Linked DNA regions of Pelodiscus sinensis. The protein of the gene in region 1 purifies or fractionates together with the protein of each later gene. This does not show direct contact. Links are inferred from orthologs where the notes say so. Each region holds a gene or a part of one and is shown on either strand. Other genes may lie near its edges.

What was found.
Region 2: the proteins of MEPCE (region 1) and SART3 purify together in Homo sapiens (affinity purification with mass spectrometry; 6 studies listed by BioGRID and IntAct, counting the BioPlex papers as one, with this or other methods). This does not show direct contact. The link is inferred for Pelodiscus sinensis from reciprocal best matches to the Homo sapiens genes MEPCE and SART3.
Region 3: the proteins of MEPCE (region 1) and SRSF3 purify together in Homo sapiens (affinity purification with mass spectrometry; 3 studies listed by BioGRID and IntAct, with this or other methods). This does not show direct contact. The link is inferred for Pelodiscus sinensis from reciprocal best matches to the Homo sapiens genes MEPCE and SRSF3.
Region 4: the proteins of MEPCE (region 1) and LSM3 purify together in Homo sapiens (affinity purification with mass spectrometry; 3 studies listed by BioGRID and IntAct, with this or other methods). This does not show direct contact. The link is inferred for Pelodiscus sinensis from reciprocal best matches to the Homo sapiens genes MEPCE and LSM3.

What each region holds. Positions count from the first base shown.
Region 1 is NC_134734.1:8,771,559-8,779,122, forward strand, and holds the start of MEPCE (7SK snRNA methylphosphate capping enzyme), read right to left. Parts: upstream 3,150-7,564; 5' UTR 2,854-3,149; coding exon 1,201-2,853; intron 1-1,200. UniProt on the Homo sapiens protein: S-adenosyl-L-methionine-dependent methyltransferase that adds a methylphosphate cap at the 5'-end of 7SK snRNA (7SK RNA), leading to stabilize it.
Region 2 is NC_134725.1:36,567,351-36,575,266, forward strand, and holds the start of SART3 (spliceosome associated factor 3, U4/U6 recycling protein), read right to left. Parts: upstream 3,422-7,916; 5' UTR 2,912-3,421; coding exon 2,738-2,911; intron 394-2,737; coding exon 267-393; intron 1-266. Other genes in the region: iron-sulfur cluster assembly enzyme ISCU, read left to right, coding at 5,222-5,320, 6,392-6,505, 7,244-7,354. UniProt on the Homo sapiens protein: U6 snRNP-binding protein that functions as a recycling factor of the splicing machinery. Promotes the initial reassembly of U4 and U6 snRNPs following their ejection from the spliceosome during its maturation.
Region 3 is NC_134737.1:17,175,752-17,183,229, reverse strand, and holds the start of SRSF3 (serine/arginine-rich splicing factor 3), read left to right. Parts: upstream 1-4,128; coding exon 4,129-4,334; intron 4,335-5,842; coding exon 5,843-5,977; intron 5,978-7,478. UniProt on the Homo sapiens protein: Splicing factor, which binds the consensus motif 5'-C[ACU][AU]C[ACU][AC]C-3' within pre-mRNA and promotes specific exons inclusion during alternative splicing.
Region 4 is NC_134721.1:22,035,124-22,043,261, forward strand, and holds the start of LSM3 (U6 snRNA-associated Sm-like protein LSm3), read right to left. Parts: upstream 3,025-8,138; 5' UTR 2,887-3,024; coding exon 2,866-2,886; intron 329-2,865; coding exon 218-328; intron 1-217. Other genes in the region: XPC (DNA repair protein complementing XP-C cells), read left to right, coding at 3,879-3,993, 6,960-7,164. UniProt on the Homo sapiens protein: Plays a role in pre-mRNA splicing as component of the U4/U6-U5 tri-snRNP complex that is involved in spliceosome assembly, and as component of the precatalytic spliceosome (spliceosome B complex).

The DNA.
Region 1 (7,564 bases):
CTCCGCAGGGGTCTAAAACAAGGCCATGTCTGCAGGCAGCTCAGCTTTTCAGATCCCACACACCCTGCAGCGCGCGCGCGCATGCATGCGCGCACACGCATGCACACACACGCACACGCACCACTTCTACCTTCCATTAGGCTAGCACTGGGGTGGGGAACCTGAGGCCTGGGGGCCAGATGCAGCCCCCAGCTTGCCTAGGTTTAGCCCGGGAGGTAAAGGGCTTCCCCCAGCATTGCTGAGCTTGCACTGGTGCTCTAGGCACCCCACCCCCTACTGTTCCCCCTGTGGGGTTGGAGCACACAAAATCTACTAGCTTGCCCCTTCAATCTCTGGTGTGCAAGGAGAATGTGGGGAGCGGCTTTCTCCTTTCCAGTCAGGGGCCATATCAATGAGGTTTTTTTGGGTGTTATTTCCCCCAATCCAAAAAAGGTTCCACACCTCTGGGCTAGCAGATCAGCTGGCTACTGCATTTCCTCACACACCACCCCATTTGCTGCCACTGGCACTTAGTTCATCCAAGAGTGGGCTCTGGACATCACACAATGTCAAGGCTTTACAGAGCAAGAGGCACCAGCACATTCTTAGGTTAACTGAGGCAAGGACGTGAACCAAATTAACCAAGGTCACAGGCATCTCCACTCCCTCTTGTGCTTGTGTGGAGGAGGACAAGTGTTTTGACTAAGGGGACACAATGCAGCATCCTCTCACCCAAGGGGCTTTACGGAGGGAAGCTGCACTGAGCCTTTTAACTGGTATCCCCCTTTGTCCCCAGGTAGCACCATCTTGTCAGTTACATAGAACTCCTAAGCATGAGGAATAGTGGCCACCTACACACACACCCCCTCCAGCAAGATGGAGTGTCTCATTTATCTCCCCAAAACAGACCCTATTATCAGCCAGAGAAACCATTCCAGAAGGATCCAGTTCCCTTATCCAAAAACAACCCCCCATACTACCAGCCTTTTCCCATCTAAGCCACTGGCCAGCCTAGGAGATGAGCTATCTACCTATAGGATGGGAGACAACCCCTCCTCTCCCCCATCTCAGATTGTCAGGGGCATGTCTTGCACCACCGTATAAACATGGGCAGTTGGGTGAATCCCCACCTCTCACTGAAAGCAACCAGGTAGGTGGCTGCTACAGCCCGGAAGGATTTTCTCCTGGCAGCCCCTTTCCCACCCAGGCCAGGCCTCTTACCCGGACAAAGATCACGTTGTCAGGGAAGTCAGCAGCTGCCCCGTCCTGGGGCACCCGGGGGGCAGCAATGGGTCCCCTGCTAGCTGTCAGTGAGGCAGGGAAGCAGCTTCTTCTCCTCTTGGGGCCAGCTCCCTCTGCCCCCTCCTCTTCCTCCTGCCGTTGCTGGATCTCTTCGGACAGGTAGTGGCGAATGTTCTGGCGGGCCGAGTGTATCAGGGCTCCATCAATGTCCAGGCCCACCACCCGGGCAGGTTTCCACTTCTTGGCAATGCTGAGGGTGAGGTGCCCTACGTTGCAGCCCAAGTCCAGCACCTCTTTGCCCTGGAACCATTCAGGCTTCATGACCCGCAGCCGGCCATCCTCACAGTTGGGGTTACGGTAGCCATAGTATTTGCAGTAGTTGCCATACTGGAATTTTCTGTGTTGTCTCCTTCGCTTGGACATGGGTGCCTGTTGTCTCCCAGCGCCTTTCCCCTTTTCTGGGCTACTCTTCCCTGCCTGGCCCCCACCTTTGCTGGCCACCAGTGTGTGGGGAGGCAGCGTCTGCTTGGCACCCCCAGCTGCCTCCGATTTGCTGCAAGTCCTGCGCCGCTTGCGGTGGCGGCTGCTGCCAGAGGAACAGGAGGGGGTGACACAGCCCACTCCTGGCTGCTGCTCTGCAGCGAGGGGGAGCAGTGGAGAGACCACCTCATCTCTACAGTTGATGGCCGTGTTAAGTTCATAGGGCTGTGGGGTGGGACAGGCCCCATTGGCCCCACATGACTTGCAGGTTGCCTGCTTGCAGTCCCCACCACCACCACCACCACCACCACCACCCCCCCGCTGCTGCCCCCGATGACGGTGGCGCTTTCGGCCCGACTTGAAGGGTGCAGCCAGCACAAGGGCTGCATCGCTATCCTGGGCATTGAGACTCAGTGGGTCCGTAATGTCCTTGGGGATGAGGATTTCCACTGGATCGCGGCCCTTGGCAGGCAGCGGCGATGACTTGGGGGTCTCTGCATTGAGGGCCTGGTTCACTTCCTCATCCAGGAGACTGTTGAGATTCAGGGGGTCGAAGATGTTGCCCCCCAGCAGGAACTCAGAGGGCAGAACCGGGTCGCACTCGGAGTTGACCCGACGGCGACGCTTGGAGGCCGGGTGCTTGAAGCCTCCACCGCCCACGTTGCAGCTGTTCCTCCTTTTGCCCCCACCCCCGGGCGGCCGGTGGGCCTGGAAGCCATTGCGAGGCCGGGGCAGCTCGCCCACGCTATCTTCCTCCTTGGGACCGGCCCTCGGGTGTAGCTCGACCCGGGCGCTCTCCTGGTGCGACCGCGGCAGGGGGCCGCTTCCGCCCCTGCACTGGCCCAATGGGGCGGCCCCTTGGTGAGACTCCGAGGAGGCCTCCTCGTGCAGCTGCATGAGGGGGCCGTCTCCGCGGCTCACTCCTTCCCCGCGCCCGCCCGGGACCGCCTCTTGGTGCGGCCGCACGACGGCTCCGCCCCTTTCGCCGCGCGGATTGGCCGGGGCAGCCTCCTGGCGTAACTCCACCGAGGCAAGCTCCTGGTGCAGCTGCCCCAGGGGGCCGCCCGCTCCGGCCGGGGCCTTGAGGGGCGGTGGCGGAGTCGGGACCAGGAAGGTCTCCTTGTCAGCCGCCATCTCGATCATCTCCTGCATCGGGGCGAGCGGCTTGAGCTCCGCCGCCGCCTCCCTCCTCCAAGTGGCTCCGCTCAACGGCCCGCCTCTGACGGGCGCCGCCTGCGCATGTGCCCTTCTCGCCCGTCCCGCTCACAGCGCAGCCGCCGTTGCGTTCGGCCTTCGCCCCCCGCGCAGGGCCCCAAGGCGCATGCGCTCGGCCGCCTGCCCCGCCCCTGCTAGCGCATGCGCGGCCCACCCGCCCGCGCGAAGCTCGATAGAATACAGCAGCGTCTCACGTCTCCCACCTCCGACGCGATGGGAAGTCGGCCCCCCCCGCCCGGGGTTGATATACCCGGAGGGCGGGACAGCTTAACGCTCCACCCCCTCCGTCGAAAGTCGGCCAATGCGGACGCACTGTTTTCCGTGCCCACGTGGAACGTTGGCCAATAAGTTCGAAGGACATCCCCCCTTTGCTAACGTCGCCCCTGCGCGCGAAAAGCCCCTCCTCTTCTTCCTTCCACCCGTCCCCGGGCCCCGACATCAGCCAATGAGAGATCGGAACGAAAGCTGTGGAGGCCAATCGGAAACCTTTGCAATGGGCCCCTGGGCGGCACGGGGAGGCCTTCGACCCCAGAGCTGTCTATGCAAAGCGCCTGTTGCGGAGGGAGTTGCCCCATGTAAATGGTTATTAAAATGGCCAAGCGGGTCTTTTGGGGACAAGAACAGGGTAACAAAGAGTTCCCCAGGGCGCGTAGAAATGAATTGAATCTGGTGCCGGTTCAGGCACTGAAGTAGACACCTAAGCGGCGCACTGAGTCCGTCGGGGTGAACCCGACCACCTATTCACCCGGTGGCGGGTATACGCCACCGGCGAGAATGAGAAGCCCCTTCCCGTGTGAGCGGCGCATTCAAAACGGGTTCGTGTGGGGGGGGTTCACCTCCCCATGAAGCCCCCCCAGGCAAAAGGCAGTTAACAGTGGTCACGTGTCCTCCTCTTCGGACATGCTGGGAGTGGTAGTTTCCCCCTAGCACGGTGTCGGACTCCGCGCCTGCGCAGAACTAATTGCCCGCCTAGCTCTTCCCTCCCCCCCATTATAGAAACATAAAAGGGGGTGGACAGGAGGGTAGTTCCCATCCGACCTGAACTTTCACCCCATTTGTGGGCCATGACCTATAACCCCAGCTCATACGAAAAAACTGGTCACAACATGATCACCCTTAACTGAGTGAACTACAACCTCTGACACTCCACCCTTAGTGATGTCATGGGGTGTTTCCCTGCCTGACCTCTGACCTCGCAGAAGTCTCCTTCCTCTGACTTTTGCACTTTACCCTCAAACTAGCCTCTCGTTCCAATTTATGACCTTTCACCTCTGGCCCAGGAGATCTGATTCTTGACTTGTTCCACCTCTTACCCTTCACTTATCCCCTCCTCCTGAGTGACCATATGTCTCCTGCACCTTCACAACAGTCTGCATAGTGGTGTGGAGCTGGAAGATGATCCTTTTATTTCAGGCAACTGGGCAAACCAGACACCCCAATGCTCCTGGCAAAAGCAGGTCCAGTCCCTGCTGGTGGGACTCTGTGCACATCAGCCTGGTACCAGACACATGGTCCACATGCACTCAAGCCATGTCTTAAAAATGGCACGCTCTCTATCCAATACCCAAGAAAACCATGTCTGGTTTTGTTGGAATACTGGACAAGGAACAAACTGTAGAAAAACAGGTCTTTCCGGTTTAATACAGCTGCCTGGTCAAAGGCTACAGCTCCTGGTCCTTATATAGTGAGAAACATCCCCTGTCCCAGAGGTTTAACAGTCTAAATAGATAGGACAGGCAAGGGATGAGAGGAAATGTAGAGGCAGGGAGAGATGGAAGTGACTTGCCTTAGGTTATCCAAAAATCTATGTGTCCAAGTAACACAATGTTAAGGACATAGATAAAGGTGAATATGCAGTATACAATTCCTTGATGCCATGTGTATGACAGTGGATTAATAAATAGCTGTACCTATTAAGAGTTTTATGTATTAAATACCACATTTAACATAATTGATAACACTGATGTAAGATCTAGCAGCATTATCTACGCTTTACAAGTCAGATATCAGTGAGGCTTTATGCACTCCTTGGCTAAATCAGGGTCTGTGTGTTCAATGTCCCATACAGTATGCCTTTCCGAGTAATTAAGGGCTTGTTTGGTTTTCAAATAAAAATGCACCATGAGCATCAAGTAAATTACTTCAGGGTAGGAATGCTTAAATTGCCCCCAGAATATACTGGTACAGATCCTCAAACATTCATGTACAGGGTCTCTAATTCCTTGCCTCTAACACAGGGGTTCCCAAACTTTTTGAGAAGGGGACGAGTAAATCCATTCACGAACTTTTGGAGGACCGGTAATGTTCATTTGCATATTGCATATTCATTAATCAAATGATGAATATTCAAATAAGTTGTTTCTGGTCCTCCCAAAACCCCCAGTGCCAGCTTTAGCAAAGCTTGATATGGTCACCCACAGTATTCTTGCCAGCAAGTTAAGGAATATGGATTGGATGAATGAACTGTAAGACAGACAGAAAGATGGTTAGATCAGGGTTTCCCAAACTTTTTACTTTAGTTGGAACCCTTTTCTTTCAGTAGTTTTTTGCAGCCCAAAAATATAAACACATAAAAAACAAACTGAGAAAATACCGGACATATAACATGTCTGGTATTTTCTCATTAGGTAAGTTTTATTATTGCTAGATATATCAGTTTGTAGTTTCGAACTGTCTGGCTGGTAAATGTGCTCAGGCTGCATGAGTGTGTCTACCAGCCAGACTGTTCGCAATTACTCGAGAGTGTGTGGGGGAGAGGGAGGGAGGGGAGAATAGAATCCTTGGTCCAGACTAACTCGTGCTTTGTGGGGGAATGGGGGGGGGCGAGGAGGGCAGCGCCCTGAGATCTACATGTGGCCGGGTCAGTCCCACTCCCCGGTACTGGGCTGCAGCACGTTGTTTGGGAAACGCTGGCCTAGTGAGATTGCGGAATCTCCATCACTGGAGATATTTAAGACCAGGTTAGATAGACACCTGTCAGGGATGAGCTAGGGCAACTCAACTTTGGAAGCCCCAGGGGCCACACTGATGCTGAGAGCCTCAACTTAAGTGTGGTTGCAAATGCAAGCAAATATATACAAATAGCTTCTCTTACACTGACAGGCATGAATACAAAGATTAAGGCAAGACTACACAACACACAGGCCCCATTTAAGTCAGTTCTGCTGATATTAATCAAATTCAATATTTATCTGATTTCTACCCACATGACAGCACTTTTCATGAGCAATGACAGTCCAAGAATTTAACTACTAAAATACATATCAACAGAAGATCATTACACTGACTACTTTTTTGTTTTGGATTCCACTTGCCGGCCACATGTTGATCCCCACATAAACCCAAACTGCACCGTGGGGCGCAAACAAACTGGCTGTGGGCAGCATACTAAGTTATTAATAAATATTTTATAAACCTTTACCTTTTCTCTCTGCTGCCATGTCTCCTCTCCTTGCTCCATCATCTCCCCTGGTGCCTGCTGCCCCCCAACTCCTCACTCTCCTCTGCTGTCCTGACTCCTGCCCTTCTCAGTGCCCTCAGCCCTCCTGCGACCTGCCCCCCTCCACCAGCCCTTCTCTCCCCCCTATGCCCACTCCTCCAATAGCCCCACTCTGATCAGGTGAGCTACCCCTCTTCTAACACCTCCCTCTACACACCTGTCCTGCCTCTCTCCTCTGGTGCTGGTCCCTCTTCTGCAGGTGTCTGCCCTTCTGCCAAGTAACCAGCTTGTTTCACTCCAGAATCCCCTGGCACCTGCACCTTCCCTTAGCCCTGCACCCTCCTGGTGCCTCCCCCTTCCTTTACTGGCCCTGCCCCCTTTTTCCCTGATACCCACCCCCTCACCACTCTCTGCCCCATTCTCCTCCTGCCCCTCTGTGCCCTCACACATGCCTTGCTCCATCCCCACCTTTCTCATGACCACCCCTTCTTTCAAGCCTTCTCCCAGCACCTCCCCCTCCAGTCCCCAATGCCCTTCCCCTCTCTTTTCTTCTCCCAGAATCACCCTGTCCCCTCTCCCACTGACACATCCCCTCCTGCCCTTTCCCTCATTGTCTGCACTTGGCCCCCTGGCATTTGTCTCTACTGCACCCTGTCCCTTGGTGTCTTCCCCTCCCAAGCCCCTTCTCCTTCCATCCCTCTCCGCCCAAGCCCAAGCCCCTTCCCTTTCCTGGTGCCTCCTCCTCTCCTCTCCTCTCCTTCCCCGCCACCGCCGCTGCCGCTGCCGCTGCCGCACAAGCCTGTTCCCTGCCTTCTGCCTTCCACGTTGTGGGGCTGGAGGCCGCGCTCAGGCCCCGGAGGCTGAACCCGGAGGCAGCCTGCAATGTGCCTCCAAAGAGTTTTAAAATCCCGGGCTGTGACATCATGTCATGCCCAGGCATCCCCCCTGCCCATGTGTAACGCCACACATGGGCAGCAGCAGCTGGCGAGGAGGAGCCGCACACGGCAGGGACGGGTCAGGGCCAGCTCCAGGCAGAGCTGGAGGAGAGACCAAGCTCCACATATTGGTGGAGCAGGGCCCCCGGCTCTATAACTCGCCGGCACTTCCGGGTTCAGGGATGCGGGGCCCGATTCGACCGAATCGGTCAAATTGGCCTAAGGCCGGCCGGCAGCCACCAGGCATACTGAGGCCCGGTACCGGGCCATGGCC
Region 2 (7,916 bases), on another chromosome or scaffold:
CCATCAGGAGTGCCAGACCGTCAGATGCCGGACCATCAGAGTTTTACTGTATTATGAAATATTAACCTTTTGGCAGGAATTTGTATGCTCAACACTGGACTTCATCATCAGAAGCATCCACTAACTACAATCCCCAAAAATGTCTGATTTGTACTTCCATGTTAAAATTCAACACCACTATTTTACAAAATGTTCAATTTAGCTGCTAAAAACAGTGGGAGGAGCTTACAGAAGGATAACCAGTGTGAACTAAAGTAATCCTGTACCTTCAGTCAGGGGAAAGAGTTCACTCATCTTCTGGCGGGCTCTTCTAAGCTTTACCAGCTCTCCTTCCTGGCGAAGCAGTTTTATTAGGTCCAAGTGACAGTTATAGTCAAATGCATTGATGGAAAGCTTTAAAAAGGAGATGAAGAAATGTAAGAGAGTATATCCAGCAATTGGTTACTAGGGTAGAACTTCAGAGTTCTATTTTGGACTGTGCCATCAATTCCTTCAGTGTCTCAGGTAATGGCTACACTATAGAGCTTACAGCAGTGCAACTGTAAGCTCTCTAGTGGAGCTGCTCTCAGTGGACTGGAGAGAGCTCTCCAATTAATCCACCCCAACAAGTGGCAGCTGGAGAAGATCTCTTAACAACATAGAGCAGTTCACAATGGTTCTTATGTTGGCGTAATTTACATTGCTCAGGGAGTGGTTTGTTCACACCCCGAGCAACATAAAATACACCAGTCAAAGTGCTAGTGTAGACCTACCCCCAGACTGCTCAATGTGAAGTGAAAATAATACACGCCTTTCACCAGTCTGCATAAAGGTTGTGCAATGTTTCATTGTTTTCAAAGCCCACTGAGGGTACAAAATGAAAGATTCTATTTTGGCAGGTGACTGAACTGAGCCCTTGGAGCTAGAAGCCACTGTTTAATAATGTGGATCCTCAGGTGATAAGCATAATAAGCAGGTGCCTAAATCTCACTAAGCAGTTGTGCACATTTGTCTAATCATCATTTTAGTGGTAAAACTGATGGTTTGTATCCAAATTGCAGTAGATCCCACTTTTCAATAACACTGTACAAAAACGGAGAATTTGCTCCAGTAAACTAATATAAATATCCAAAAAATGTTAGCTTCCCATCTAATAACTGGAAATAGCAAACATAAGCAGTTCTCAAGATAAAATAGTAGTTTCTGAGATGTGAAAAGATCGAAGTTCTTTTCTAATTAAGGTTCTGCCTCCCTATTCTCAATGTACGTCAAGCTCAGAAAAACATTTGTTACTGCATGGTCCACCTTGCAGTTCATTTCAACAACAGACACGCATGCTTTCCAATTATATTAGTCCTCAAGAAGTTCTATTCCTGGTTGCAACCATCAATTATTTCAGTAATCAGTGCATAGAGAAAACCCTCTGAAGTTAGCACTATTCCAGTTTGCCATAGCAATTAAAACACCAAAGAATTACACAACAGAACTATTTCATAAAGATATAACATTTTCATAATTACCATGCTGAAATTAAAAGCGAAGAGCACATTTCTGTAGAAATTCTGAAAGTGTCTCCAACTGAAAGGGTTGTGTACCAAGACAGCTAAAAAAGGTACATATTTCAATTCTCGAACAGAAACCACACATAGTTTATGAATAGTATAATGTACATACATTACACATGATTATGAAACTTTGAATTTGTTAGCAATATTAGGGTTTAACTGATTAACTGTTTAACCAATCAGCTGATGCTTATCAGTTAATGGTACAGATTACACTCAACCAATTCCAGGGGGAGGTGGTTTCACTGCAGTAGGGAAGAGAAGTTTCCTTCCCAGGGAGGACAAGCAGCTCTCTTCCTCCTCCCAAGCGAGGTAGGCAGCTTCACTGAAGGCTCTACAGTACTGCTGAACCAGTAGCACATGTAGCCACTAAGATTTTTAGCAGTTTCACAGTTACCCTATTACACGATTTTTAACATCCCTTGTTCCACTGTGTGTTCAAAGAATTTGAGACTATAAACAAACAGAAAGGATTTCTTGATATTTTACAACAGACAGCAGAATTATACAATCCTGGATTAACACTACAGAATGAATGGGTGTGAATTCCCCACACCTAAAAGTTCACCCATCTATACTATCACATGTTCCTTATTCTCTTTAATCCACTAGTTCCAAAAATCTCTCCCTTTCTTCACATGTTAATTGTGCTCCAACATTTAATGGGGGGGCCACGATACAGACTCCATCACCTATTGATTCCTTTGCTCTATCAATATTAATGATGTGTACGGCCCTAGCCCCCACAAAATGCAACTCTGCTTCCTGTGCACACACAGACAATCCCTGGCCTATAGCTCCTAACAGATGAAGGCAAGCAGCGATAAGCAAGGGCAGAGAAGGATTCTGTTCTTCTGTGCACCCTACAGAAAGCGTGGGGGCTCCTGCTGAGCAGTGACTAGCCCCCAGTCTGGATGCTCACACCCCCCAAGGATGAGGGCCCGATGCTCTGGCCTGGGCGCTACTCGCAGAGCCCCCAGGGCGGCGCTTCCCTCCTGCACACCCCGAGCCGCAGCCGCGGAGCCGCCTCCCCCTCCCCGCGCGCTGCGGGGACCGAACCGAGGGTGACCCCGCCGGCCGAGGCAGGGCTGAGGGCGGCTCCACGCGCGAGGCAACGGGCTTCGCGGGCGCACCCGGCTCGCGCCCCGCCCCCTCCCCCCGCGTGCCCACGAGCACCGGGCCGCGATCCCCACCTGCTCCTCCAGCCGCTGGATCTCGGCTTCGTTCTCCTTCTCCTCGTCCTCGCCATCCGCCGACGAGCCCGAGTCGCTCTCGTCCCCGCCCTGCTCCTCCGGCCGCCGCTCTTCCTCCGCCGCCGCCGCTACTGCCGCCGTCTCTTCGGGCCCGGCTGCCGCCGCCTCCGCCATCTTGTGCAGCTACGCGCTGCGCACTGCCTGCCGACCTCGGCCAAGCCGCGGGGCTGCCGCTGGCGCGCCTGACTCGCCCGTCCCCGCGCAGATGCTGAACGCACCCCCGACAAGAAGATTGAAGGCCCGGGTGGAGCTCGCTGTACTCAGCTCTGCAGCAACGGCTGTTTCCGATTAGGGAGTCACGGCCTTCTCGTGATGGATTCTTACAGGCACCTGCGTGGGCTGCTGAGGTCCTCCTGGGCATGTCGGGGCCCTGAAGGAGGTCCCCCTGGCCAGGGCTTGTCGGTAGGGGAAGGACCCAGGCTTGGCCGCCATATTGTGTGTGGCAACTCTTCTGTACGCAGGCTCAAAGGCTTGCTTGGGCTTTGAGCACCTCTGTCCATAGCAAAATGGCTCGGGTCTTGTTGCTGCGTCCCCGCTCATCCTCCCACAACCATAGCAGGATGAGAGCCATTGTAATAACTGGACATTCAGTACACGATGTACGTGTATCATGGATGGTGCAGGGGCTAGTGCATAAGAAATTAAATATTCTCGTCTTTATAAAGTTCCCGTAGCTGCATCACTAGAGAATGGGATATGGCATGGGAATTAAATATGGTGAAATGTATTTGCAAAGTCCACCCCTCCATCCCTCTTACCTCTTTCTGGTGACCTTGCACAAGAAATTAAAACAGATATTTGCAAAACTCCCTCTGACCTGTCCAACCTCAGTGTTCAGGATGCTGTCTAAATATTTGATAAAACTGTAAAGCATCCTAAGGCAGCAAGGTCTGGAAATATGCAAATGGGAATATGAATAAAAAAACTTGCACCTCTTCTCTCCCCCCCCCCCCCCCCCCATTAGAACTCATTCCCTCAGAAGCCAAATGAGAAACCAAGTACTGATCACAACAGAGCAAGACTATTATTAGCTCTCTGGTCTGGAATCCTGACTAGCTAATTGTCAAACTACAACACTGTATAGGACAAATTCAGGCTTTGGATAAACTGCCTGGCTACGTCTAGACTGGCATGATTTTCCGGAAATGTTTTTAACAGAAAAGTTTTCCGTTAAAAGCATTTTCGGCACAGAGCGTCTAGATTGGCACGGACACTTTTCCGCAAAAGCACTTTTTGCGGAAAAGCGTCCGTGGCCAATCTAGACACACTTTTCTGCAAAAAAGCCCCAATCATCATTTTCGCGATCAGGGCTTTTTTGCGCAAAACAAATCTCAGCTGTCTACACTGGCCCTTTTGTGCAAAAGTTTTGCACAAAAGGGACTTTTGCCCGAATGGGAGCAGCATAGTATTTCCGCAAAAAACGCTGATTTCTTACAGTAGGAAATCAGTGCTTTTGCGGAAATTCAAGCGGCCAGTGTAGACAGCAGGCAAGTTTTTCCAGAAAAGCAACTGATTTTCCAGAAAAACTGGCCAGTCTAGACACAGCCCGAGAGTGGATCATCTGTCAGCCAGCTGTTAGGTGAGTCCTGTAAATGGTTCTGAACATGGTGCAAAACACAGTTGGCTTTAGAGATGTAAGTGACTAGCCTAAGCAACTAGTCAACTATTAGGTGGAAGGGAGCAGGAGCCTGTGCTGGGAAGAACCAATTAGGTTCCCACCACCATGTCTCCACTGTGGGATGGAAACAGAAGCATACCAGTTCCCACTCCTGGCACTTCTGCTTTTGAAATGTACAAGAGTCCTTTTTTGAACCCTGATCTTCACAATTTGCTCTAGCAAGGAGTTCCACTGATTGCAATAAGCCTGGAAGGCATAAACACATATCTCAGTGGGCTGGGTCTTCCCCGCTTGGATGGCTTGTTGCTCCCCTAGGCAAGTGGGTGTGTGCACAATGTGCACCGGGCCCAGGCACAGAACAGCTGTTGGTTAAGCCTGGGTTGGTTTCTGCCGGGCAATACTCGGGTTCATCCAGACCCGGCTATTGGCTCGCTCAGGCCTGGGCAGCTCTCCCGGGGCAGCGATGCCGAGCAGGCGTGGAGGGTCCATTTCCCAAGCGCAGAGCAAAAGGATGCAAAGCGCCGTAAACATGTCCTGGGGGCGCGCCCTGCTGCACGCGGCGCTGCGCGGCCCCCGCCGGCACCAGCAGACACGTGACCGGCCGGGTTGGATACCACAGGGGGGAGGGGCCGGACACGCGCCTTCTAGCTGCTGCTCTTTGAGCCCCGCAAGTCACTGCCCTTTGCCCCTCGCGAGGGGGCGGGGCCAGGACACGTGCGGGTCACGTGGGGGGCGTGACGCGACGCGCTCCTAACAGTGCGCGGGGACAGGGCGGGACATCTCGCGCTGCCCGCTGCCGAGAGAAGATGGCGGCGCTGAGGCTGACGGGGGGCTGGGCTGCCGCTGCGCTGCTGAGACCCGGGCCCGGGGGGTTGGCAGGCCCCGCCGCGGGGTATCACAAGAAGGTCAGTGAGGGGGCCGGGAGCAGCACTGGGGGCGGGGGGGGCCTTGTAGGCGAGATGTGAGTCCTTAGGGGCGGGGCGTGAGGGGGCAAGAGGCTGACAGCAGCGATGGGGGCGGGGGGGAGTAGAGAGGGGGGAGGGGAGTAGAGAGGGATGGGGGCGGGGGGGAGTAGAGAGGGGGGAGGGGAGTAGAGAGGGGTGGGGGCAGCATTGGGGGCGGGGGAGTAGAGAGGGGGGAGGGGTGGGGGCAGCATTGGGGGCGGGGGAGTAGAGAGGGGGGAGGGGTGGGGGCAGCATTGGGGGCGGGGGAGTAGAGGGGGGAGGGGTGGGGGCAGCATTGGGGGCGGGGGAGTAGAGGGGGGGAGGGGTGGGGGCAGCATTGGGGCAGGGGGGAGTAGAGAGGGGGAGGGGTGGGGGCAGCATTGGGGGCGGGGGGGAGTAGAGAGGGGGAGGGGTGGGGGCAGCATTGGGGGCGGGGGGGAGTAGAGAGGGGGGAGGGGTGGGGGCAGCATTGGGGGCGGGGGGGAGTAGAGAGGGGGGAGGGGTGGGGGCAGCATTGGGGGCGGGGGGGAGTAGAGAGGGGGGAGGGGTGGGGGCAGCATTGGGGGCGGGGGGAGTAGACAGGGGGGAGGGGTGGGGCAGCATTGGGGGCGGGGGGGAGTAGAGAGGGGGAGGGGTGGGGGCAGCATTGGGGGCGGGGGGGAGTAGAGAGGGGGGAGGGGTGGGGGCAGCATTGGGGCAGGAGGTTGTTGGTTGTGAGATCAGCATGGAGGGGAGGTAGAGCAGAGAGGGATTGGGAGGAAAGAACTTGGCAGGGGTGAAGAAGAGGATGGGATCCTGGGAGTTGTGTGGGAAACTTGGGACTGGGAAAGGAGAAGGAGGTCTGGCTATTGTGGGACTAGGGGGCTTATGGACTCCCATGCCCTTGAAGCTGGGGCAGCGTTGGGGAGGTTCTCAGCCGTGCCATGCACTGGGCTTTCTTGCAGTATGTTTTAAACTGCACAGACGTTGTGAGCGCTTTCCTAGACAGGGACTGTAGATACCATAATCCTTGCCAATAAAATTCCCTTTTAGGTAGTGGATCACTACGAAAATCCTAGAAACGTGGGCTCCCTTGATAAGAGTGCAAAGAACGTTGGCACTGGATTAGTGGGTGCCCCTGCCTGTGGAGATGTGATGAAATTACAGGTGAGTTATCAAATAACAAACATGATTATTTCTGTGTTCACTGAGAGATCTCTAGTATATTGAATATTATGAACTGACCACGCTGGTTATGTTGACAATCATATAAGCTGTTTGCCAGAAAAAAAGAGAGGACATGCAAGTAACTTTACAAAATGAAAAGTTACAGAATATGAACATATTAGTCTTAAATGAGAACTGCCTTCACATGAAACTTCTGGTGGATAATTCTGATTTAATGGTATTACAGGTGGTAAAATAAAAAATATAAAAGAGCCTCTATTTCATTTATATATCTGATTGTTTCCCATACATTGTCATGTTATCCACTGTTAAAATGTTCTGGTGAAAATCAACAAGAATATCAGGAGGATTTAGAGGCAGGTGTCAGCTCTGAAGACTACATTTAACTCACCTTTTGAAACAAAAGTAGACCTTAAGTGGATGATGTCCATTAAAGTCTACTTGTAACTGCTGTCTTAAACCACTAGTAAAATGACTTTCCGTTTCTAGAACTAAAATGTAAATGTTTTACAGTATTCCTTGCCTTACTCTTAGGTCCTATTCTGCTACCATGGATACCAATGTGAAGGATACTTTGCCTTGATTTCTGTGAATAGGTTGAAATCAAATCATTATCAAGCTGAGTCCTCTTCAGTTATAGTACCACAAGAATGTTATGTAACCAAATATATAACACAAATATTATATACCAAATCAATGTCATTGGAATTCTTGCAGGTTGAAGTAGATAAAAATGGAAAAATTGTTGATGCAAGATTCAAAACATTTGGCTGTGGATCAGCAATTGCCTCAAGCTCATTGGCCACAGAATGGATTAAAGGAAAAACGGTAAAACTGACTTCACATCTGTGAAAGAGCATATTACACAAAAACTAGCAGCATAAATCGCTATTAATGCTACACCATTCATTATTAGAGGCTATATGTGGAACCATGAGAAGCATAGTATGAAGTTTCCGTTTTACCTAGTGTGAATTTTTTCTACAATGAAGCAGGTTAAAAATATTTCATCCCTGTCAATGAAATGTGATCTAGTTTACTAATCTTAATTTCCATTTCTAGAAAAGCAGACCTTACTTTGATAGCTTAATTTTCAAAGTGGCTTTGGCCTACATAGCCAGAAATAATTTATGCATATTTTCCTGACAGAGGATATTGTGAAGACCAAGTCTTTAACAGGGTTCAAAAAAGAACTAGTTAAATTCATGGAGGATATATCCCTCAATATTTATTAGCCAGGATAGGTAGGAAGGGTGTCCCTAGCCTTTGTTTGTCAGAAGCTGTTCATATGAAAATTTTTTGCTTACGTCTGGTATCTTGGGATGGAAGGAGAATGGGAAAGATGTTGATAGGGTGGTCAGAGCAATTTGTTTATACACAACCCTTTTAA
Region 3 (7,478 bases), on another chromosome or scaffold:
AGCCATTTGTCTCGTGCCATCCATCTCCAGCCTTCCAAAACAGAGGCCAGGGACACCATTTCTACCCCCTGGCTAATAGCACTCCATGGACCCAACCTCCATTACTTTATCTAACTTCTCTTTAAACTCTGTTCTAGTTCTAGCCTTCACAACCTCCTGCAGCAAGGAGTTCCACAGGTTGACTATTTGCTTTGTGAAGAAGAACTTTCTGTTATTAGTTTGAAGCCTGCTACCCATTCATTTCATTTGGTGTTCTCTAGTCCTTCTATTATGGGAACTAATGAAGAACTTTTCTTTATGCACCCTCTCCACACCACTCGTGCTTTTATAGACCTCTATCATATGCCCCCTCAGTCTCCCCTTTTCTAAACTGAAAAGTCCCAGTCTCTTTAGCCTCTCTTCATATGGGACCTGTTCCAAACCCCTAATCATTTAGGTTGCCCTCCCCTCTCCCAGCCTCTCTCTTCCCCTCTCCCACCTCCTTTTCCCAGTCTCCCCGAGTTTTGTTCAATAAAGAGAGTTTCTATTTTTGAATACATGTGTCCTTTATTTTGTACATCAGGAAGGGGGGCTAGGGAGGGGTAAGTGGAAGGAGGTGAGGGAGGTACGAGCCCCCAATGGGGAGGACTGGGGTGGCTCTGCAGGCTCCTCGGGGTGGAAGCTCTCCTGCAGCCCCCCCGGCTGACCCCTCCCCGGATGGCAACCTGCAGCAAGTGCAGCCGGGCTGATGGCCGAGTGCTGTGATGTGCCCAGTGTGGGCACTCAGGGCACTCCAAGCCAGGACTGCTTTGCAAGCGGGGAACCCCTGAGAACTGTCTGTCCGGGATGGAGGTCGGGTCCCTTTAAGCACAGCCCTTGGCTAGCCTGAGACAGCAGCTCCACGCTCTAAGTCAGTGGTCTCCAACATTTTTATACCCAAGATCACTTTTTAAATGACAGACCAAGCCAAGATCTACCGCCCCGTCCCTTCCTTGAAGCCCCGTTCTCTCTAGTCTCCTCCTCTCCATCACTTGCTATCCCCAATCCTTATACTGCTGCTTATTTTTTTTTATTATTATTACTATTCTAAAGGAAGAAGTTTTTCCAACATTTGGCCTGTCTACACTGGACCAAATGTCAGAAAAAAAACCCTTCTTTTGGAAGCCACCTTATTCCTTGGGGAAAGAGGAATATAGGGGTGACCAAAAGAGCCTGTTTGCTCTTCCACTAAAAAAGCGGAAGAACAAACGCAACCCTGGATGCAGAAGAGTTTTTCTGAGATATCTCCAGAATCCTGAAAAACTCCTGCAGTCTAGCCGGACCCCCGCTGGGTTGAGACAGGACGTGCAGTCTCTGCGGTGGGAATGAGGGATTTGGGTGTGGGAAGGGGTGAGAGGTACAAGCTCTGGGAGGAAATCTGGATGCAGGAGGAGGTGGAGAAGGGGACACTGGCTCGGGGAGGGGGCTCCAGGCTGGGCAGTGTTGGGATACTAAGCAAGCCACAGGCTTGTGGATGTGAATTTGGGTTGGGGTATGTGAGGGGCTGAGGGCATGAGGTTCCAGTGTTTGATAGGCTCAGATCTAGGGTCTGGGGAAGGGGGAGTGCAGGAGTGGTTGTGGCCAGATGGGGGTTTGGCCCCAATTGAGGGTTTGTTGGCCAGGCTTCATTTTTAAATAGAATACTATGTTAAACACAAAGGCTGTGTCTACACTGGGACACTTATTCCGGAAAATCAGCTGCTTTTCCGGAATAAGCTGCGAGTTGTCTACACTGGCCCTTGAATTTCCGGAAAAGCAACGACGCTCTACTGTACAAAATCAGCCGCTATTCTGGAAAAACTATTCTGCTCCTGCTCGGGCATAAGTCCTTATTCCGGAACACTGTTCTGGAAAAGGGCCAGTGTAGACAGCCCAGTAGTCTTTTCCAGAAAAAAGCCCCGATCGCAAAATGGCGATCGGGGCTCTTTTCCGGAAAAGCGCATCTACATTGGCCACAGACGCTTTTCCGGAAAAGGGGCTTTTCCGGAAAAGCAGCCTGCCAATGTAGACGCTCCTTTTCCGGAAAAACTGAAAACGGAATAGTATTCCGTCTTAAGCAGTTCCGGAAATTCATGCCAGTGTAGACACAGCCAAAAAGTTTCTGCATTGTCTTTATTTATGAGAATGGCAGGGAACCTGCCTTGAGTCAGGGGTCACTGACCCATAGAAAAGTCATTTGGGAGCAGGGGACACAGTACTGGGGAGGGGTGCTAGTGGGTTGTGGGACAGGGAACAGGGTGCCAGTGGGGGTAGGGGAGAGGGGGCAGGGTGCCAGGACAGGTTTCTGCAGCAGGGGACAGGGTGCTGGGGGGTCACTTCGCAGTACAGCTGTCTCCCATATTTGCTGCCCACCTACAGTCATTGCAGAATATAGTTATCCCTCCTATCAGACCCCTCCCTTTCCATGAAGCAAAATACAGGACTAGGTGGCACTTCAAAGACTAACAAGATGGTTTATTAGGCGATGAGCTTTCGTGGGCCAGACCCACTTCCTCAGATCGATATATGGAAGAAAACAGACACAACCATATATACCAAAGGATACAATTAAAAAAATGAACACACATGAAAAGGACAAATCACATTGCAGAACAGGAGGGGGATGGGGGGGGTGTGAGCTAATGGTGTTAGAGGTGATAACTGGGGAGGCTCGTTGTAATGGGTGAGATAATTAGCGTCTTTGTTGAGACCCCGGCGTAGTGTCACATTTTAGCATGAATGAGTCACGGGCTCTGAAAGCTGCACTTGGAGGGGATCCCCCGATCGTTTTAACTGTGCCCGTTGGTGTGTCCGTGACTGTTTGATCCGGGGAAGCGGGTCCGGCCACGGGAGCTCCTCCCCCAATGAACCATCCCGTGAGTCCGGCCCCGCCCCGCCCGGCTGCCCCAGGCCGCTCCCTGCCCGCGCTCCGGACACCGCCCCTCGCAGGGCTGTTCCCGGCCCGACCCGCGAGTCCGGCCCCCGCCCCCCGCGGCTCCCGCCAGGCCCGTCCCGCGGCAGCGACGAGCCTTTAGCGCCGCCCTCGCGGCCCGGCACCGGCCCCAGGCAGCGGCGAGCGCGGCGCTTCCCGCGGGCCCTGGGGCGCCCCGGGACGGGCCTGGCGCGGGAAGGCCAATCAGGCAGCGAGGGGGCGGGTCCGTGACCTGTCACTCCCGTGCGAGGCGCGCTCTGATTTGACGGTGGCTGGCGACGGGAGGGGGCGGAGGGGCTATATAAGGCCGGGCGGGGGAGGCGGCTGCCGCCATTTTGTCCAGTCAGGAGAAGCGGAGCGGGAGCCTGCTCGGGACCGAGTCGGCTGCGGCGTAGCGCGTGCTCCCTTCTCGCAGCCCCGTCCGCCCCGGGAATCGGTGAGGGCCGAGCCGGGGCTCAGGGCGGGGCCCGGCTGCGCGCGGGGAGGGGCGCCGGGCGGCCTCAGGCGCCGGACAAAGAGCCGCCGCCATTTTGTGCGGTGGGGCCCGGGCGCGGCCGCCCAGCCCGCAGGCGGCGGGGGCCCTGGGGGGCAGCGAGGCCCTGGCGATGGGGCGCGGCGAGGCCGGGCCCGGGGGGGGCGCGAGGTTCCCGCGCGGGGCGCGTCCCCCGGAGCCCCCGGCTCATGGCGGGCCCGCGCGCGCGGCGAGTGCCCGGGGGAGGGGCAGGCTGGTGGCTCGCGCCGGCCTAGGCCTGGGGGCGCCTCGTGCGGGGCGGGCCGCAGGGCAGCGCGCGCCGCGCTCCGAACAATGGCGCCCTCGGCGCGCGCGCGGCGCCCCCTGCAGGTCTTGGCTGCCACCGTCCCAGGCCCGCCGGGGAGACGCGGGGGGCGGGGCCGCGGGGCGGGGCGCGCGGGTTAACGCGCGAGCGAAGGGTCCGACTGTCGCTGCGACGCCCCTTACCTCTCGGGTCCGCGCGCCAGCGGGCTGCGGGCATCTGCGCCCCGGCCCTGGGTTTGCAGGTCTCTGGGGTCTCAGGACGCAGCAATGCCGCCTGACGGGGTGAGATGAGGAGAGACTTGCACATCCAGGCCTAGCATCTGCGCGTTTCAGTGCAGGCAGCAGCCTAACCGCCGAGGGAAATACTGCAGTTGTAGGCCGAGGGAATCTGCTTTTTAAACTTACTGGGCTTTCTTTCCTAGTGATGCATCGGGACTCTTGTCCACTGGACTGCAAGGTTTATGTAGGTAACCTTGGAAACAATGGCAACAAAACTGAATTGGAACGAGCTTTTGGCTACTATGGACCACTGCGCAGTGTGTGGGTTGCTAGAAATCCTCCTGGCTTTGCTTTTGTTGAATTTGAAGATCCCCGAGATGCTGCTGATGCAGTAAGAGAACTAGATGGAAGGTAAAATTTGTTAATTAGACTATGCACTTAATTTAATTACAATGATTAAGCAATTTGTATTCACACTTAAATTAACCAAGATCCAGTAATATCATGGCATTGAGATTAACTAGCCATTCAGTTGTTGAATTACTTGCCCACTAATTCAAATTTATAAACCAGAATAACTCTTAATTAAGGTTGCTAACTATGTAAATAGACTTTTTTGTGGTTAATCTCAATATTTGATATTCTTGGTAATTGAAGTCAAATTGAGACCCCTTTGCTGGGTGTAATGTAGGCTGGGATGATTTTTCTATCTATAGTGGCAGTGCCTTAGCAGTAGGTGCATTTACACCAGCAAAGTGTAGTTCTTTTGCTTCTGTACTTTTTCATTTGGGGGATCTGGTATAGGAAATGTTTTGTTGGGATAAGATGTCTCTACGTAAGTGGATTTGCTGGTATGCTGGCAAACACTTTCTAGGATAGACTTGGCCTGAGATTGAAAATTCCAAATACCTGGTAATACATCTAGAAGTACTTTGAGAGCCTCTAGAATTCAGAAGAGTTGGATTCCACCTGTACCTGGTATGTGGAGTATCAGAGATGGACAATAAGTCAACATTTCACAAGGAACTTTTAATTCTTGTGAAACAAAACATGAAATAGTAGTATTCATAAAACGTTTCAGAAGTGTATTTATTACTTCAGTGGAGCTAAGTTTAGTGTCTCTGAACACAGCTTTTTAATTTCGAAGTGGAAGAGATAAGGATAGCTGAATGTTAAATAGCTCTTTTAAAGTGATATTAAAATTTTGTTTTGACTACCAGCTAGATTTAAAGTATTAACCAGCTGAGCAATCTATCCTGATTTTGCTACAACCGAGTATGGGCTTTTCACTAAACTTATTCAACTGTGACTTCCATTAAATTATAGTTGTGATAAATGCTATAATTTCATTTTAGTCACATTTTCTAGTTACTCTCCTTGTAAAATAAATATTCTACATAGAGAGGAGATGCAGGATTTTTCACTCAAATGGTATTGGAGAAGCCAGAGTTCTAGGGTATACTGTAAAATTTATTTTAACCATTAGTCTTGACATAGGACAGCAATGCTGTTAAGGTATAAAGCTGCAGGTGTTCACTAAAATTGAGCTTTGAGTTTCCAGCTTTACATGAGAGAGAAAGCTACATAGTTAATGAAGTTAAATCTACAAAATTCATCCCCAGGAAACGCTTGGGTAGATTCTGTGCTTTCTTGGTGTTAAGTAACTAGACAGGAGAGGCTTGGGTCACTTTGAATCTGACTTCTTTATATTGTGTGCATTTGTTTAGATACATAGGTTCCTTCCATCTCCAACAAGTGTTTGTCTAACCTGCACTTAGTGGAATCTCCATCTGAGATTATCTCCCTAGCAATTTTTCAGTGCTATATGTACACAATGTTTTCTTTTCCAGTGCGTGCCAGTATGTCTTCAGAGCAGACCGATTTATTGCTTAGAGTATTAACTGTAACTTTTTTCCCAGAACTCTCTGCGGGTGCCGAGTCAGGGTGGAGCTGTCCAATGGTGAAAAACGGAGTCGTAACCGTGGTCCGCCGCCATCCTGGGGTAGGCGTCCTCGAGATGATTATCGCAGAAGAAGTCCTCCTCCTCGCCGCAGGTACCCTAGGTCAAAGACAGTGCATAGAGCTGTTGAATTGTTGTCATTTAGCACCATAGAAGCAGGCTTTCTTTAAAGCATGTTCATGGGTAACATCTTAAACATCCTGATCACAATTTGGAGATGCCAGACATTTTATATAAAATCAAGAGAACATAAATTGTATTGAACATTGGCTTTTGTCTGTAAGTCACTGTAAGTTGATAGCCAGCACCCTCTGCCTTGGACTTATCCTTTCTCTTCCTAAAATCTGCACATCTTGTAGTCGCTTTCTTCCCATACATCTACTTAGGTTGTTCCCTTTCTTTTACTCCATAATGACAAACATTACATTCAGCAACTTAACTTTTCCATGCAAATGCATTTCTCCCCTTTAACAATTCAAATATTTGCCTTGAAGGCAGCTGTTTAATTATGTTAAAACAAGTAACAGTTGCATTTAAATGTACAAATCTAATTTAACCCTAGTAAAGAGTTTAAAACCTCTTGTGACAGTATCTGTCATTTGAGTTTTGCAAACCCAAGCCTAAAATATAGCAGGGTTTTTTTGGTAACTACCTACTTTCTTGGATCTGGACTAACGTGTCTGAATGTGTTAGAACTCTGCACGTCTCAGCCTACAACATGGTTCATACAGGACTGAATTTAACTATTGCCAGGTGAGTGAAGTTCTCACAGGATAAGTTTGAAACCATGTCCCTTTTGCTAATAAAAAACCCACAATAGGAGTATGTTAGCTGCTAGATGGTTGTACTGATGGCTTGTTTTTCATTTTTTTATGCTTTTTGGTCCATCTATTAATAAAAATGAACCCGTTACAGAGTCACCATCATGTCTCTTCTCACCACCCTCTGAGTCTGCATTAGCCAGTCAACTAGCCCTTTCAGCGTCATGTGACCAGCGCGCCCCATTCTGCTTGGCTGGTGTCGTTTCACATGACCCAGGCATGGCCAGTCGTCAGGTTGCACCGCCCTTTGGTTCCCGAGCATGCTGTTTTCTCTCAGCCTTCTCTCCAACCTTAACCAAATCGGCAGCAGCCACCTCGACCGCCCACACATTCCCGGCCAATCAGCTCAGCTGTTTATTTACCAAATGTCTTCACAACAACTACAGCAGCAGCCTTCGGCTAACAAAAAAGCAGGAAAAATCCACAACACCCCCTTCGCCAACCAACTAAATACAACGCAACATCTGGCAAAACCTTTTCAGCAAATTCTTCTTGGCAGTCAGTCCGGCAGCCTCACCTCACCATTTCTAGCTTGTTGAAACCAAAAACTAGTAAGTTTTTCCTGCTTATACAGTTTACTGCTGGTTAAAATAAGGAGTAAGCGGCTTATAAGTAATTATTTTTCTCAATCAAAGGCTGGCTGTGCATAATTGAATGGTAACGTACATATGTTGCTTGAATAAAACTTTTAAGGGTGATAAGGAAACTTTTAATGTAAATAAAACCAAAAGGAAATGAGGTATATTTGCATGTGAGATGCCAAACTAAATTTTT
Region 4 (8,138 bases), on another chromosome or scaffold:
ATTAGCCATGGATGCTTTTGCGGAAAAGCGTCCATGCCAATCTAGACGCTCTTTTCCGAAAATGCTTTTAACGGAAAACTTTTCCGTTAAAAGCATTTCCGGAAAATCATGCCAGTCTAGACGTAGCCCAAGCGTATAATTTGCCTGGGCTTTTAGATGTACCTTTCAATGGTTAAAAGTATACTAGTACTAAATCTTTCTGCAGTGTTTTACTTACATGTAATCTGCCTCGAAGTTCTCGATCATTCCTCATTTTCACATAGATTCGTTCATCTAGACTGAGTCTGATCAGATCCAGTGGCTCCTCTACAGTATTTGTTGTTTGTTGCTAAAAATACAGACAGCAGTTTTTGCGATATACAAAAGCCTCAAAAATTTTATGTTCAAAACCGGTCAGTCTCTTTCACGTATAGGATAAAGGTACCTTTCACTTTCAGGTCAGTTATTGGGTCCAGCCCAACCTGGTAGAAACCAAAAATCATTATCATAGAATGAGCATATTGTGGCCTGTATGAAATGACATAAATTTCAGTTAACTTCCTAGAGGACAGTACTATTATCACAACTGGTACCCTCTATTGACAATTTTAGTGGACAGGCCAGAAGTCTGAACAGAAAGGGTACAAAATATAGCTTACATCCTCCAAATTGAGCTCACATGGTCAAGTCTGAGATACTTTGGCAAGGATGTAAAGAAGTTTACACTGCCATTGATTATGCTGTTCTCATTGGTGGAAAATTATTTGTAGTACTGTAGCACCTAGAACAGAAGTGGGCAACCTACATCCCACATGCAGTCCAATGGGGCTCCAACTGTGGATCGCAGACCCTTTGTCTGCCTCCTTCCCCCACACGCCTCTTGTGCACTTGGGCCCTGCACTTTCAACTCCTTTCCTTCCCTCCCAGCCCATTCAGAGCACCACAAATCACCTGATTTATGCCCCATTCTCACTCCTCTCCCTCAGAGCTTGAACAGTTGCGAACGCTGGAGCGGAGTAGCAGGGAAGGAGTGCGAATCAGGTGATTTGTGGTGCTCCAAAAGTGCTGGGAGGGAGGGGAAAGAGTAGGAAATGCAGGGTTACAGGGTCCCAGTGTGCGAGGGGTGCATGGGTAATGGGAGCAAACAGGGGGTGTGCAGGCCACAAGTGGAACCCCAGCAGGCTGCAGACCACTAGTCATACTGCCCACTGAGATGAAGGAGGTCCAACTCATGAAAATCACTATTATTGGTTGCCCATTGCTGACCTAGCGCTCTAGTCCTCAGCCCCACTATACTCAGCATTGCGAAAACAGTACGAAATAGTGGTCCGTTGCCCCAAAGGGATAATGCATTGGGATCTCTGGAGTAAGTATCCAGTATTTTATAAGCTTCAGAGAGGTAGCTGAGTTAGTCTGTAACTGGAAAAACTTAAAAAACAACGAATAGTCTAGCAGCACCTTAAAGACTAACACAACATGTAGATGGTATCATGAGCTTTCCTGGGCACAATGAATGGTATATTCCATTCATCTGAAGAAGTGGGTTGTACCCACAAAAGCTCATGATACCTTCTAAGGATGTTAGGGACTAGTCAACTATCCGATAAGCAAATGCTTATCGATTAGTCAGTCAACTAGCCGATTCACCTCCACTTGTTACCTCTATCACAGAGGCAGCAAAGGGAAGGAGAAGAAGGGGTACTTCAAAGTGGCAGTGCTGCACAGCTGAACTGAGGATCAGCTGTGCAGTGCTGCCCCTTTGAAACACCGCCACCATGTTTCAGCTGGATTCCCCAGCTGATCTCGGGATCAGCTGTCTCGGGTTCTGCTGAAATGCTGCACTGAACCTGGGGTCAACTGGGGAGTCTCCCCGTGACCCTGGGTTCCACGGCTTTGAAATGCACAAGAGCCCCCACTGGGGACTCTTGTACATTTCAAAGAAGGCACACTGGGTGCAGCCCCAAGCGGGCTCTTGTACATTTCAAAGGAAGAATGCAGAAGTGCCTATCGGCTAGTTGAGTAGTTGATGGAAGTTCTATTGACTAGTCAATTAACCACAATTTAAATATCCTTAATACCATCTACATGTTTTGTTAGTCTTTAAGGTGCTGCTAGACTATTTGTTGTTTTTTAAATTTTTCCAGTATTTTATATTCCTTCCCCATTACTTCTTCAGCTTCACTTTCAACAAATCAGACTGCAGTAGAAGTACAAAACATAACAAAATCATACATCTCTTAAGCTTGATAAGAGCACTGCCAATACTGAGGCTCCAGGAGACTGAAACCAGCACTGAAATGACACTAAGACCACAGAGATGTTCGATGTTTTTCAATCACGCAATTAACGGCAAAGATCAACCTAATGAAGACTGAAACAGAAGGAAACGTTTTGATGTAAGCTGCAGTACTGAGAGGTTAAAGATTTGCTGCTCCACAGGGGACTATGGAGTCCGTCTCAAGTCAAAGGCTGCAGCTTTCTGAAACCCTAACCCTTTGCCTGCTCTGCCTTAGTTCGGCAGACCAGGAAAACGGAAGCATCTCCGGTCACGCTTGCTCAAGCCCCCATGGGCTGAGCTGGGGCTCAGGGGCGGGGAGGGGCGCGCTATGGAGGGAGCCGTATGCAGCGTGTCTTTGCTGGAGGGCCGCCGTTCCGCTACACTGTGAGCGGCAAGTTGGGAAGGGCCGGGACATGGGAAACTGGGGAGTCAAGAGGGAGAGACCCCACAGGCGCTCGCGCATCCAGCCCCGTTCATCAACCGTCCCTGCTACGGAGAGCAACGGCAACCAGACGGGAGGGATCCCAGGGCAAGGGGAGAACCGAAGCGCCCCTCCCCCCCCGGGCTCGCGCGGGCTCCGAACGGCGAGGAGAGGAAAAGCCGCTCACCTGGTCCACCTCGTCCGCCATCTTTCAAACGCGAGCCCCGCCTCTTCCCGCGCGACGCCGGCGCGTAGAAACGGCGGGTGGCGACGTCACGGTTGGCGTGGGGGGGCGGCCTCCAAGGGAGGCTAGAGCGGCCGGTGCGTTGCTCAGGCTGGGTGGTGGGGGCGGGGCTTGGCGGAGCAGGCGCGGTGTGCGGCTGCGGACCGCTCGGGCTCGTGCCACGTGGTTCCCCCGCTGGTCTGCGGATTTGGCCCCGGCTGTGCCTCCGCGTCTCCCCATTGCGGTCACAGGGCCTAGCTGTGCCTCAGTTCCCTCCCCCCACCTTTCCGTTACCGGGGGGGCTTGTCGATGTGCTCGTCAGCTCCCCCCCCCCCCCCGGCGTGGCGAAGGAAAGCGAACGCAGGTGCCCCATGTTGTTACAGATGGGGAAACTGAGGCACCCGCCCGGGCTCCTTAGGAATTAATGGGCAATGGCTCCGTGGGCGCGAGAGCCGGCCTAAGGCCCGTGCCGAGTGCAGCGGTGCCCCCGGACTGGCGTACAGTGGGGGCGGAGTACAGCTCCAGCCCCGGCCCGCAGGCACCCCCCGGGGCATGAACTGAGGACGGCGTGAGCCCAGGCTGGGCTTCGGGGGCACGCTGGGAGCAGCCCCGGCCAAGAAGGGGCCATTGGTGATCACTGCCCAACAGGCCTTTGCAGCGCCCAGGCAGCTCTGCACAAACGGCAGCCACGGGCGCTATCCGCCGCCCTTGCGGACTGCCTCTCGGCCGGCCGGGACGGAAGAGACGTCAGGCAGGAGGAGGAGACTGAGGCAGGAGCCGGCTGTGCTAGCCCAGCCTCCCCAGAGCCTTCCTGCAGCTCCAGGAGGAGGAGGAGGGCTCAGGGTGCACGTACGCTTCGGAGGTGGGGAGAGCGTGCAAAGGCCTCACCCAGAGAAGGAGGCTGCCTTCATCTCCGCTGGGTTTGCTTTGTGTCCCTCACCAGTCTGTGGTTGCCCCCCTTGCCTTGAGGAAACAGCATGGCCAAGAAGCGCAAAGGTTCCTTGCAGCAAGAGGCTAGCAGCAAGAAATTCAAGGCAGAGCCTGCTGCAGCAGCCACCAGGGCCCTCCAAACTCTCAGGCAAGAAGGAGAGGGTGAGTGTAGACGAAGACTTTCTTGAGCCAGACCCTGTTGCGAGCAGTTGCATAAGCATCATGGAGAATATACTATCAAAGAGAAGCAGCCCCTGGAACTTAGATGGCAGATTGGGGGTGGAAAATTCATTTGGAGGAATATTTCCCCTTCACATAACATGCTCATTTGGAATTACTTTAAAATGACTTTTAAATCATTCCTCTGTGCTGATAAAGGATTTTTGCTACATATTTCAATGGGACATTTAAAATCTCACTTGTCTTGTTAGACTCTCCTCTCATTTAAACGCAATCCTCTAGCCTACTGTCCAATGTGCATTTCTAATTACAGTAGACTGTGAAGAATAAATCAAACTTCTCTGATATTGTTTATTTATAGCTGTATTTATTTTGTGACATTTTTTCTGTAGGGTTTTTATAGGATTTGTTTAAATGAAACATTTATTTAGAATTGTTCTTGTCTCAGTTATTTGCTGGTTTTGAGCTTACTAAAATAAAGCTTTTGAAATATTAAACAGCAGATGAAATCCTTTTAAACCACAATCTCTTTGCATAGCCACTAAATAGTGTAGTGTTCTTTGTGGTGTTTAACTCCATCTGCTGATCTGTTGTCCCTTATACTGTATAATGTGATCATGACTGATTTAGCTTTTTTTTCCAGCCCCATTACAGTCAACATTTCAATGTTACATAAGCAAAATAGTTTTCTCTTGAGAGAAGTTTCTAGTGCTGTCAGGAAACAATCCACAATTTCTAAACATTTCCTTTGTTACAATGAAAGAGGGAGGATCAAATGATTTGATGAAGCTAAGAAAAATAAAGGTTCTGGATAGAGTACTGCTGGCAGCTTTAATAAATACATGTAATTTCAGCATATCTTTAGGGTATTATTTATGTAAAATATAAGCATGGAATTCAGGTCATTCTTAATGCAAATAATGGTAGAATTTGATTGTATATGTGTTTGTGGAAAAGGCTAACTGAAGGGAACACAATATAATCTTAAATCCTAATTCTGTATTTCTTGTTCATCTAACATTGAGGCTTATAGTTAGTATTTCTGTCACCACATCTTCATTTAGTATTTATCTCTAGATTTCACATAGTTGTTGAAGATGATGTGGTGTGACTTTCAAGCAGTCTGTTTCATTCCTTAATTTAGAAGAAGCCCTATGAAATGCTACATTTTCAGAGTGATGTGGTTTTTTTTAACTGCTTTATCTGCTGTATTGGATTTGATCTTGCAAAATGCTTAACTCCTGGTCAATGAAAGTGAAGGCCTCAGGAAATCAGGCCTCTCAAAAACACACCATTCAAGAAATAATGGTTTTAGAGTCATTGTAGGCCTTGATTGAATTCTGTTGAACTCTTCATTAGGGATGTTAAAATGTGTTTGTTTATGTAAACATGTAACCACTGAAAAATTCAGCTGTTACACATTTACATGCATGCAGGAGCTTCCCCTAGCTCCCCATATGTATACGTTAATGTCCCTTGTGTATATGCAAAACCCTTTTAAAGACTGGAGGCCATTAGGGCCTAAGAGTGTGGTGTCATGGATCAATTCACAATATTAGTGCCTTTTTAAAACAAATATTTAAAGTACGAAAACCACTCTCCTTAGTACATTTTCTCTCAAAGTTGCTTTTTAAAAAATTCATTGGATTTGAACCAATATTACTGCTTTCAGAATTGGGCCCATTGTGAATGTCCAGCAATAAATGCAGTATTGCCAGACCCAGATGTTCAAAAATGTGACTCAGACCCCCTGGAATGTATGGGGATTGGCATAAAAATCATAAGACTATAACATCAGAAATCTCTCTCCACTTTTCTTGCTTCTCTCAGGCTTCCAGGAGCTGTATGTTTACAACAGATAATCACTGCTTATTAGAAAATAAAAACATCTTAAAAGTGACCTGCAAAAGTTTCTCCAAAATGGGATCATTATTAAGTAATGAGCTGAATGTCAGACATAGTCACAAGCAGAGGAGTATTCAGCTAGTAAATGACGAAATGCAGCTTTGGAAAAAAATCAGCTCCTTCAAAATTACGTCTGCTGCCCTTCTCTACTATACTGACCAAGAATGCATTGTGGTCGTAGCCCTGATTCTGCAAACACTTAAGCAACTTTATGCAACTAGCTCCATCACTCATGCATTGACTTCAGTGGAGCTACCTGCATGAATAGACTGATCTTGTTTGTGAGTGTTTCCAGGAACAATCTGTATGTTAGGTTGGACACCAGCAGCCTCCCAGGAATATTGAATAACCCATATTGAATTAGATAAGTGGCATTTTTTTCCTTACAAAGTCACGTTGAAACTTCTTACATTTAAAATAACTTTTCCTATATAATGGATACCAATTCTGTCAAACCATGCCATATTCTAGAAAGGAGGAAAACTTTGCACATTTCATTAGGGAATTCTGCCCATCATTCTAATCTCATATGCACTTAATGTACCCATTGCAACGGGCACAGTGGTTTGATCCAGGTGTGATGAGGAAAGCATCTTGCTATTGTTGAGAGAGAATCCTCATAAAAGAGGTGATTTAAATCAGTCTTGCAAAATTCCACTTGTCTGGGAAAAGTAACTCTGGCTGTAGGTGAGTAGAATATTTATTTTTCATCCACCATTATTGATAAGGGCAGATATTATCCATTTTGTTTATTTGGGGCTGTGAAATTTCCATGATGGTTTTGCTTCAAATGCACTTTTTGCTTAATGCTGCATATTTGTGAAAATTATTTTCTAGGACAATATGTTCAATATGTTCACAGGCTGCAGAGGAAAATGCAAAACCTGCATTTTCCTCTGCAGCCTGTGAGTGATATGCTAGCTCTATTGAAGTTGTTGAGAGTTTTTTTTTTTTTTTTTTTTTTTTTTTTTTTTATTGACTGAGTTCTGTGGAGCTATGGTTTCACTTTTTGACATATCTCCTTCCCCTCTGATCTAATACAGATAATTTTGAAGGAGAAAAGCTCAGTCTGAAGAAATGTCTCTCAAAAGTTCCTGCTGGAAATAAAAAGAAGAAAAAAGATTGTGACACTGGAATTCATAGCCTGCCAGGTAGATCTTCAAGGCAAAAAGGAGCAAAGTCAACAGTGAAGGAGGAAAATAACATAGCTGTGAAAAATGAAGGGAATCTTAAAGGGGAAATGTGCAGGTAAGTTAATTTACAGCATCAGCATAACAGTCTGGAACAATATTATATTTTTTGTTAAATGTGTTTAGTTAAAACCCAGTTTTGTAAATACATCCAGGTTCCTTTAGTCATGCTCATAATCTCAGTTGGAACTATGCACTTGAGCATAATTATTTCAGGGGCATAGTTATTTGCAGGATCAGGCCACTGGAATTTAATCTTGGTGGAAAGCTAATATTTAAAATGTTTCCAAGTTTTATATAGTGCAAATAATTGTATTTTTATATGGAAGTTATCGAGTTATTTAGGCCAAATTTTAGATTTGTTTGTCTTTAAATGAAGGTAGTGTGGAGGAATGTAAAGTAGGACAAGAAGAAATGGGCTTAAATTGCAACAAAAGAAATAATCCTGCTTTGTGTGCAGGGGATCTGAAGAAGTCCCCGCCAGTCCTAAATTTCTGTGATTCTTTGACATTTGTATTTAAAAATGTAGAAGCTTTTCCATGCACTAATAGCAGGAAATAAAATGTCATTTCACTGGCCAACATGAACACATTTTACTAAATTGCAAAAGAAACACACTTCTAATTCCTTTTCTTTATACTGATGAGGCTTCAGCAAGATTAACAGTTCAGAATATGAATTCTGTAAGGCCCCGATCTTGCAAAACGTTGTATATAGACAAACTCTGTATCTATGTAGATCCCCATTAATTTAATTGGGATCATTTAAGGGTATGGATATCTCCATGGAGATCCTTGCAGAATGGGGACCTAATGTTACATACTGCACTAAGAAGACTCTTTCCCCATTTTTACTGTTCTGCCTCTTTTTATGGCAGGGATGTTATACTTCATACATACAGAGAGATACATTATCTGCACTTGTGGTTTCGCTTGTAAAATATTATAAGGCTTTGTATCTGCTATTTTTAATACAGATGTATTGTATTTGTTTTTATATTTTAATATTTTCCTTCAGTTCTTAAAACAAGCA